2 linked regions of the Oryzias latipes genome follow. The protein of the gene in region 1 binds, or shares a complex with, the protein of each later gene. Links are inferred from orthologs where the notes say so. Each region holds a gene or a part of one and is shown in the gene's direction. Other genes may lie near its edges.

The links.
Region 2: the proteins of stx17 (region 1) and vesicle-associated membrane protein 8-like are in contact, whole or in part, in a crystal structure (PDB 7BV6), measured with the Homo sapiens proteins. The link is inferred for Oryzias latipes from reciprocal best matches to the Homo sapiens genes STX17 and VAMP8. Residues at the interface, in NP_060389.2 of Homo sapiens: Ser171, Trp172, Thr174, Leu175, Asp178, Leu179, Glu181, Leu182, Leu185, Val186, Phe189, Leu192, Val193, Gln196, Glu198, Lys199, Ile200, Ser202, Ile203, His206, Val207, Ser209, Ala210, Asn213, Val214, Glu216, Gly217, Thr218, Asn220, Leu221; in NP_003752.2 of Homo sapiens: Gly9, Val13, Leu16, Gln17, Val20, Glu21, Val23, Lys24, Met27, Thr28, Asn30, Val31, Ile34, Leu35, Arg37, Gly38, Leu41, Glu42, Leu44, Arg45, Thr48, Glu49, Leu51, Glu52, Ser55, Glu56, Phe58, Lys59, Ser62, Gln63.

Annotation. Positions count from the first base shown.
Region 1 is NC_019874.2:17,627,088-17,631,953, forward strand, and holds part of stx17 (syntaxin-17), read left to right. Parts: intron 1-2,622; coding exon 2,623-2,931; intron 2,932-3,827; coding exon 3,828-3,878; intron 3,879-4,866. UniProt on the Homo sapiens protein: SNAREs, soluble N-ethylmaleimide-sensitive factor-attachment protein receptors, are essential proteins for fusion of cellular membranes.
Region 2 is NC_019867.2:25,807,137-25,812,678, reverse strand, and holds the start of vesicle-associated membrane protein 8-like, read left to right. Parts: upstream 1-2,353; 5' UTR 2,354-2,531; coding exon 2,532-2,546; intron 2,547-5,542. Other genes in the region: ncaph (condensin complex subunit 2), read left to right, coding at 856-915. UniProt on the Homo sapiens protein: SNAREs, soluble N-ethylmaleimide-sensitive factor-attachment protein receptors, are essential proteins for fusion of cellular membranes.

The DNA of each region.
Region 1 (4,866 bases):
CAAATGAAGAGTCAATCATATGTCTTGGAAGTAATTTAAAGTCAAGACCGACACTCAAATGTCCTATAAAATATGTCACACAAGAAGAATCAAAATTAATGATGTTTGTCTGCAGTAAAATGCATTTGTCAAAAAATAAATGAATCAAGTAGTCCAGCGGTCTCAAAAGCTTTAGGATGTACCTTGTGCTGTTCATTAATAGGAGTTAGTCCAGCTGTCATGAACAGAGTTCAACAAAATATTTTAAGAATTAAATGCTAAAAGGTTTTAATTTAATCTCACATTTCACTCATTTTTAGAGTTACCCTACCATTTTTTCACATTTCCGTTTAGTTCAGGCACTTTTTTATTTTAAATTGAGGAGGAGTTTCCAACCATATAAATCTGTTGGGATGCAACCTTTTTGTGTAGAATTTAACTCAGTTATGCTTCGCAATTTCCAAGCTCATAAATGTATTTAATGTTCCATAAAATCGATCTCACTGTAGAAAACCTTTAGTTTGATATGGATATCTGTGCTCACAAATGCCCATATTCAAACATCAATTTGAATTGAATTGGACCACATTAACATGATTGCACTGGATCATTGAATGGTATTATTTTTAAGTTCATAAATCACTACACATAATGATGAACATGATGACAGACACACGCACACACATGCACACACACACACATTGCCTGTCAATGTGCTTGGGAAGTCAGAACATCCCAGAATTCTCAGTTCAAGTTCAAGATCATGCAGCAAATCTAAGCAGCTGTCATTTTTCTTTGTACTTTTAAAGCTTATGCAGACCTGATGCAAAGGAAGTGATACAACACTGAAAAGTACTTACAACAAAATTATAATAAAAGGATTTTACAAATATTTTTCAAACCAAAAAATGTATATATTTTTTAAATCTGGGCAGGAAAAAGCCTTTTTAAGCCTCAAAGATGTGTGTTTGTGTTTAAGTACTTGCATGCTTGTACACATGGTTGGTGTGAAACACCTCAGGGGATGTTGTTGCCTGGGAGCCACCGTGTTTCTGAACGTGAAATAACTCTAAACAGGCACACACCTATCCTCTCACCATCACCCCACAAACCTCAGGGGCGCACAGAGAGTGCTTTCTCATGTCTTCATGGTGTTAATCCAGAGTAGGGGTTTGTTGCCTCTACTTTAGTTGTGGCCGAACGTGTGTGTGTGCGTGTGTGTGAGAGAGTTTATGTTTTTTTATTCACAAACTGACGGATGGAATCATAAATAACTTTTTTTCTCTGTTCCCTGATTACATTTTTTTGATATTTTAATGCATAGGTTGTATTTATTTCACTGTCCCTCTAGATGGATTCCAATTTCTCACCCAACGCAATAATTGATATTTTTCCCCCTCTTGTGTAACGGCACGTAAAGCCCAGGAGAAGAATTTCAAAAAGACCAGGTTGTCTCACCTTCAACACTTCAGCAACAGCTTGCATTCTGAGCCTGGGGATAGGTTTCTGTTTCTTTATTTGTACAATTCTGCAGATGCTTCAGGCGTGTTGGATCCAAATGTAGTCATCAACTTTACAGGTGACAAATATATAACGTAAACCTGAAAAAGGTGTACTAGAACCTATGTGTTAGACCAGAGGGGTTCAATCCAGGTTCCATCCATCTTCATCTGGCTCTTGAAGACAGGGAGTGAACACTGCTATAATGAACTGATACAATGAAAATCCTGTAGTTTCTTCTAAAGCGGCAATAAATAAAAAAAGAAAAAGTTTTAAACAATCCCCAGCTTTACCTTTTATGCGTAGAAAAAAGCAAAAACACGTCACAGGTAAAAAAACGCAAAGTGTTTTACAAATAAAAGCAGGAAAAAAGGGGATATATGCTTTAGATATGTATATATTTAAAAAAATCGTTTATAAAATATAGTGAAATCCATCCATCCATCTTTACCCGCTACATCACTTTTGGGGGTCATGGAGTTGCTGGAGCCTAAATAGTAAAACACTTATTTTTATTTAATTTTTGTTTATTCCTAATGATTTCTTGATTGTGGCCTTACTCCATTTTGTCTTCCCATATGTTGTTATTTTTTTAATAGCTTTTGCATGTAAGGATATGTTTATATGTTTATTTATGTTTTGTAATTAGTAGAATACGTTATTGGCAGCGGGCCGCCCCCTTGAGTCCTGGTCATGCGGCCTGTAGGGCCGGTGGCTGGGATGTAATCCTCCTGTCACCCTCAGGGCATTTCTTGTGTTCCCCAGCCTCATATCTAAACCCGATTAAGCTCTCATCAACCCACACGTGTGCACAAATTCCACATTACTCACACTTAAATAATATTCAGCTTGTTACTGCAAGCCATTGCTGTAAGGTAAGTTGTTTGTGAATTGTGCAGCCATTTTTCTAAAAGCTAGATTCATTTTTGTTTTGATTTTATGTTGCGTGAGGTTAGTTCTCGCTGGACTATTGGCCTGATCTCTTAGTTGTACCTATTTTTTCTGGTGGCTACCCCTAAACAAATGTTGGTTTTCTCTTTGTCTCTCCTTTAATCAAGCACAATGATTCTTTTGAAATGCCTTATTGCTTATTTTCTCGACCCCACTGAAACGTTCACACAGAACCTCTGCTTCTCCGCTCAGCAACTGAGAGCTAACATCAGAGAGATGGAGCAGCTGTGTGGCCGGGTCCGTGCGGAGGATGCCGCGGCTCTGGACGTGCTCGTCAGGCCGGTCAGGGACAGAGCTTCAGCTGCCGCGAGAGACTTTCTGCTTTTGCACTCTGACTCTTCACCAACGCTCACTACGCGGCAGCCTGGATGTGCATCCAGCAACTGCCACAGCGTTAATGACGAGGGCGACAAAGCAGAGTCGGGAAGGCAAAGTCAGCTCCACCTTCCAGAAATCCCTGCAGATCAGAATGCAGCGGAATCCTGGGATAACCTTGAAGGGGTATGCATGGCTGGATTCTGAACTTTTTGCTTCATGTGCAGTCTTGCTAGTTGGGTAGTGGCACTCATTACTTAAAACCCAACTCACTTTAAAGAAGGTTAGATGTCAGGATGTAACATTGCTCATGTAAAAGCCCTTCTATTTCAACTCCCTGCTTCTCCTTAGGGGGGAATAAAAAGGAATCGCCGTGTGAAGTAGGAAAGATTAGCTTTAACTGAGAGGTTTTATTATGTGAGATCACCCAGAGCAACAGGATTTTTTTCTCTTAAAACAAACAAAAACATTATAAAGTATTAGATTCTGTGTTAGAAAAGTTACTCTGGAAAACCTCATCTTAGAAAGCTAAAAGATCCTTGTTTCAAAAAAATTTGTTTTATTTTCTGTCTTGCAATAAAAATAATTTTAGTTTGAGAAAAGCATGCCTTTGTGACTAGAAATGTCTTCTTAAAATAAGAATTCCTGACACATTGGCAGGTTTGTTTTGCTTATTTAAAGAAAATCTACCACTAGGGTAAGAATTTTAGACTGTTAGACTAGATCAGGATTTTAGACTAGAGTTTTCAGATGCAGGATAACGTGAGTTCCTGGGTTTTATTTGCTCATTTTACATAACTTCTCCTTCTTGTTTTTTTTTTAAATCCAAGCATGGCATCAATAAAAACATCTTTAATGAATTTAGGCACAGTTTGAATTTCATGAACTGTTTAGAGACTGACCATTTCAAACTGAAACAAGTTCAATTCTTTTCTTCCTTTGCTACTTAATCTTCTCTGTGACCTGTATGTGTTTTAACATGGATAAACAGAACAGTCATGGGTCAAAGCCCTCTCTTTCTGTCTTGTAAGAAGATATTATTATTAATTATGAATTAATTGCCCTTTTGCCCCTCCCCTCAGGACTTGAAGGAGCTGAGCAGCTTGGTGACCGAATTCTCTCTGCTCGTCCATGTAAGTACAGTCAGTCACTGAGAATTCCTTTTTGCCTCTGTCCCATTCTAACAGTGCGTGCTCTTCTGTATGCACATGTCTGCCCGGTGAACAAACACAGAGGCTGCTCGGCAACACTGTCTCCATGAAGTAGTGTGCGTTTGTGGTGGAGTTGCTTAAGGTTCCTTTGAGACGAGGTGGGACGGATCCGCTTAGGAGAACTGCTGGGGCCCGAGGGGCCCTCGACTAGGACGAGGGGAGAGAGGGAGGAGGAAGTGAGAGGGAGGAGGGACCGGATTTGGAAGAAGACAGCAGGTTGTCACAGGAGGGGGAGGCCAGGGAACCGAGGGATGCAACCGGCAGGTGGAGAACAGACGGTTCAGATTATGACTCTGTCCTCAGGGATGAAAGGAGGAAAGCAGGGAGTGAGGGAGAGTAGCAGTGAAGGAGAGAGTGAAGATGTTTGTTTGTGCAGAGGAGGCTGCAGAAAGAGCATAGACATGTTATAGCGTCTCAAGGGGGAAAGACGCCGTTAGGGACCAATACAACCACAGTGGAAACACTGAGTGAGTGGTTGTGTTTTTGTTTGTTTCTGTTTATGCGTCATGTTTGTTCCCTCTCTTTGTATTTTTTACTTTGGAGTCTTCCGACTAAAATAAAGCACTCTTGAATATACGGTTCTTACTCAAAAAGTGAGAGTTTTTGCTCCTTTTTTGCTCTGAATAAAAGGAGATGAAATTAAGGGAAGAGGTATTTTCCAAATAAATCTAAGAATGCTGTTCTCTTTCTAAGCTCTTTTAAAAGCAGAGATGCCATGTGTTTCCTAGAATAACCACTGCCAGACTGCAAAAACAGCCCCCCTTTGAAAGAAGTCAAAAAATCTTCAAATTTGAAGAATTGGGGAAAAAAAATTCCAATTTGGAAAATTTTAGGGGAAAAAACTGCCAGTGGGGTAAGAAGAATGGTCTTACCAAGTATTCTTATTTTCAGAAAAAATACTAGTCACAAA
Region 2 (5,542 bases), on another chromosome or scaffold:
AAGCATATGATGGAGCTAAAAGAAGTGTTTCACACTTTTCTGTGTTGTTTTTTTACTTAAAAGGGGAACATAATTTCTAGTTGCTTAGCATGTGATCTAGTTTTTTCCGTCTTTTGACAGTGTGTGAAAGTTTGAAATGGCTAATTGACACGCACATCTGTAACGTATATCTATTACATATACTGATGTCATCATGTAATCAGTTCCTAGATTAATGGGAAAAAAAGTGTTTATCATTTACCAATGAACAGCAGGACTGACGACCCGACTCTATTTTTGGTTGTCAAAAAAACCAAAATAATATTGGTTCATGAGTTAATTCATTTAAAATCAAATGGAAGTAAATGAGTTGTACTGTATTTGAGGTTCTGAAAATATCTTATCAGTTTGGTTTCTTTTTATTTAACCTTTATTTTACCAGGAAGTCCCTTGAGATAAAACATTTTTAGAGAGAGACGTGACCCAGAGGCATTGATACACACACAAACATAAAACCATGAAAATAAAAGAACATTTGAAACAGCTCAAGATAAACATGTGCACTCTTCGGTCACTCACTCAGTGTTATCAGTTTGTGGGATCACTTTGCTTATAAAGATAGTGACAGACGTGTCATTACTCCTACTCGACTTTAAAATGTTTCAACTTAAGAGCCTTTTAAATGAATCCTGTTTGTCTTTAAAATGACTTTAATTTAACATTATATTTGACATTAATTTATTATCAAGAGCAACTTTCAGCTTTAGGAATTCTACTTTTATAAAAGGTTATAACAACATAACCCAAGTTATTTTCTGTAGACAAACGTCTGAAGCTTTAACACCTTTTAACAGTTTTGAATTGTCTGTTTTACAGAATTTGGAGCTGGTCAAAGTTGATGACATGTCAGACATTATCATCAGACAAGGCCGCTAAGGAGAAAACCAGGAGATTTTTTTAAATTCTGTCCTCTTCTTTCTTTGAATTTATGCTTTTTCTATTTAAAATGTCAGGTTTTATTCACTTTGTGCTTAAGTTTTAAATCTGCCCTTTTTTCCCTCATAATGACAAGACGACCTTTTTTTTAACTCTGTACTATTTCATGATTATCTGTTGTGTAGATAAAAGAACTTTTCAACCACTGCTCAAAAGATATATATTGTCAAAAGAAATAAAATGTTTTTTTTTCCCATAAATGTGGTTGAGTTTGTGACTTAAATTTGGGCAGAACGTGTGAAATCCTGGCACATTAAACCTGTTTATAGTGTGAGTTTGCAACTTTGCTGTCGCCTTCCCGTAGAGGTTAAGCCGGTTTGTCTGGGTCTGTGCTTCCATCTGGGTGAGACGACATGACGTCCTTTCATTAAGGAGATACAGAACAAGAAAGAGCAGAGGACTAATCACATTCCAGTCCTTGGCGTAGAAGTTTTTAATCTTGCACACAGGAACTTTGATATAAACAGTGTTTTTACTTTAGGTTTCCTAATTTAATCCTAATATAATGGTAGAAATGTGCTTTTGTCCGATTATCACTAAATTGTGTAATGTGTCTCAAAATGTTTATAGTAATGCAATTAATATATAACACATAAGTAATTAGTTTTGTTTGTTTTGTTAAATATACTGTTTAAAAGTGGTTTTCCCATCATACCTCTCTTCAGACTTTCTGTTTAAAAACACAAAAGATTACTTCAAAGGATTCAAGGAGTATTTATTGCCAGTGAGCAGGGCATTTTCACAGAATTGGAATTTGCTGCGGTGCTAATGTGCGACATAAAACACTTGAATAACAAAAATAAATACCAGAGCAAAAAAAAAAAAAAAGATCTGAAAGGGGTGAGTTAAGAGTTAACATTCATGACTCCTATCTCAGATCCAACATGTGATGGAAACACCCTCAGATGGGAATTGAGTAGGAAGGCTGGAGCCACACAAAACCCAACATTAAGGGAACAATAGAGTCATGCCTTCAAAATAAAAGCATGTCCTGTCTTTATAATGAAATATTATCAGAAGCTGAAAAGTCAAATGGCACAAGCCAGATACGATCTGCAGTAAATACTTAACACATGTGGATGTGTTTTTATTATTATTATTGCTATTGGTCTTGATATTTTAATAATTATTGAAATGAGGTGGAGGGGAAATAGTGAGATACCTCTATTTTTTGATTTTTATCAGATTTTTATCGGTCCTTTTTTTACTCTAATAAACTAGCAAAATATTTGGAATCGTCATTCTAAAAAAAATAGCAATAGAAATGTCACTGTTGCACTTTTTCTTTCTTAATTGTAGGTTCTACGTCGCAAATTCAAAGTCGCAGAGCGGAAGCAGCGGTTGTGTTGCGGCGCACCGACGTCTTGAAGCGGAGGAATTCTATGACCGGAACAAAAAATAGGACCAGGAAGTTGAAGTGTCGAGCGCGTCCCCGTCACGATAGAGCAACAAACTAAAGTTTTAACAAAGTATTTTTAAAAGGTTTTAGCTTATAGGTCCGCTTCGGGAAACGTGTTTTCATTGATTATCGATCAGGGGACATCATTTCCAGCGACATGGACCATGATCCGGTAGGTACTGAGAGACCTGTTTTGAGACCCAAGTAAGAAAGTAAGTTGTTGTTTGGAGTCATGCAACAACAGGTGAAGCTAGCTTCAAAAAATGGATTATTTAACCTGGGTTGATAACAATAAACTCTTACTTTTGGTTTTGTATTTATTTTTGATAACGTTTTTTTTTTGTTGCCCGGAAAAAGCTATTACCTTTTACTGTTTTGAGAGATTAAGTAAAGTTTTCACTAAAGACGAGCAGCTAAGGTTTCTCAAGTTACTTTGGGAACTTTTCAGAGCTGCGAGGTTTCTATGACTTGTAAAAGTTTGTTTTGTTAGCTTCGTGAACGTCAGTTAAGTTAGCTAACGTCAGTCTGTTTTAATTAAGTTAACGCCAATACTCGCTGAAGCATTAGATTATCCCGAGTGGTTTGAACGTGAAACGAGGCTCCGAGCTTTCCCTGTTCTTGTGTGTATATGTATTAATTCGTTGTTGTAATTTTTTTTCTTCAATCAAGTTTAAGTGTCTCAATATTTCAATATTCACGAAGAAACATTTAGTTTCAGCCACGTTCACTAATATGATTTAACAGAGCCCAGTGTGCGCATGCGCGTTCGTCATTGTCTTTATCACATTTGTCATGCCAGAAAAATCCTCATATATGTCAGCATGGGGGTATAAATCTTAAATTACACTCTCGGTTTGTTATCCTTTCCCATTTAAATAAAGTTTAAATATTTAGGATTATATTCTGCCATGATATAAAATCACGAAAAGCCCATTTGCATGTTTTGTTTTAGTTTATTACTACACATTTGCGTATAACGACACTCTTCGTGTATGCAGTAACCGCATAACATGATCTTATCTTTGTGTCAGTTGTCAGGTTTTCCCTTGGAGAACAAAGCTACTTTAAATTCCCGACACGGCGTGGACGTGTGTCCTCAGCTGTTTGCTTTCTCTAAATAATGTTATTTGATAGCTCTCAGCCATTCAGTGAGGCTCGCTGAGGTCTTGGTAGTGGGGAATTGAGAAGAAAAAAGGGAAATGGGTTCACCTGAGAGGCAGGTAAAACTAAACATGATTACCTCACACATGACTAAAATCAAAGGAGTAAGATGGAAACTCTCTTTAAAAGACCGAAGATGTGTTCAAAAGCAAATGTAGAAAGTGAGAATGTGAGTCGGAGCTAACAGGAAGGATTAGAGGGAAAGGAGGGATTTGAATCAGGAAGCAGAGAGCGAATGATGCAGGTAAACCTGCTGTATCCTAGAGACGGCTTTGTTTTCAGGCCGACTGGCTCGTGGGACGTGGAAGTCCCTGCTCTGTGTTGACAGAGGGCACACTTTTTATTCTTTCTGCTGGCAAAATCACACCTAGAATTGTGCGAAGTAATATTCTGTATTCACTGTCCCAACTTGTTCTAGACATGTTAACAAAAGCATTTGTCTAAAGCAAGAAAACTTGGAACATTTGAGTAAAAATGCAGCTGATTTAAACAATTCTTACTGTGATTTTTGCAGTTTCTTGATAGTTTGGAAATGTATATCCAGCTATATTCTGTTTTTGGTGGTGCAAATAGCTAAATAACAGCCATCCTTTGCACTATAGTTGTTTTATATTGAATTATTGTTTTTTACTGGGCTTAGTTTTTGATTTTGTTCTTGTAGCACCTCTACAAAAACATCGGCAAGAAGCAAAAAATGAAAACAAATGTGTACTGCATGGATACTTCTTAAGACAGAAGCACGAAAACAAACAGGTGGCCGAAAGCAAAGCATTTCAAATACGTCTTTTAGCCAATTCATCATTCCTAACTGAGCTTTCACTAAACTAGATGATAAAAAGGATATACGTACAACTGAAAAAGAAAGTAGCATTTCTGGTTTTTATGCGACACTTTAGTTTAGTGAGACTTTCTTGCCTGCTGACCATTTACATGCTTTACATTTTGACTTTTTTTGACTTTCTAATAATAAATAAAGGGCAGCCAATCAGCGTAAAACATCGACTTTTCTGTCTTTGCTTTGAGCGTGCTGTCCAACACCACCAATATGTAAGCATTGATGTATTGTTGATAGATAAAAAAAACAAAATGGCCTTTTGCACGAGGTGCATAGATTGCTGGATTGTTACAAGATATCAAAATCTTTCTTATTTTTGTTGAGAAGATGAAGCTAAGTGTGACTATTGTGTTATAGTTGAAGTATTCTTTTTAACTGTATTTATTTTGACTTTAAAATAAACCAGAAAAAATGCTCATTACTATTAAGGTTGGAGTTGCTCTGTGAAGGTGCTGCAGCCGCTCCACAGCCTGACTGCCTCCATGCCGCTCATGCAGACAGAGCCTCTGCTTCATGTCTGGAAACGTCCTGCATTTCCATGTTCACAATTCTTTTCTTTAGTCTTTGGTGTTGCAATGTCATGTGTAGTTTAGTTTTATTTCAAACCTATTGTAAAAGCTTCTGACTATAACTGTATTCGGTCAAAATGTTCTCTATTTGACAGAACATCAAACATGTTGGAAAAGGAGATGGGCAGAACCTGAAGCTTATTTAAGGCTGCTACTGATTCAACTATGACAACAAAAATACAAAATCCACAGAATATATCAATATTATCAGTATCATTCTCTGTCTGAAGATTTAGCAATCAGCGTGTCATTATCACATCATAAAATATACCCAGGATTTCATTATAATTATCATAGGGTTCAAAAATCAACCCAAAAGTGACCATAATAGACCCTAATATCATTTGAGTTAATGTTAAGATTGAACATAATTTCTTTGGATTTATTTTTAAATCAACAAATGTTTGGACGCTGTTTTGTGACGTGTAATCAGACACGACCATCGACACTCAATTCTTAAACAGTTTTCCCCGAAATTCTGACTAAATTAAGGTTCAGTTACAATTTTTCTGCTACATGTCTGTATTTGTTTCATTGTGTTCCTTGTGATTTTTGCATACATGTGCAATCCTCACGCTGCAAAAAACAGGCGCCCTAGAAATA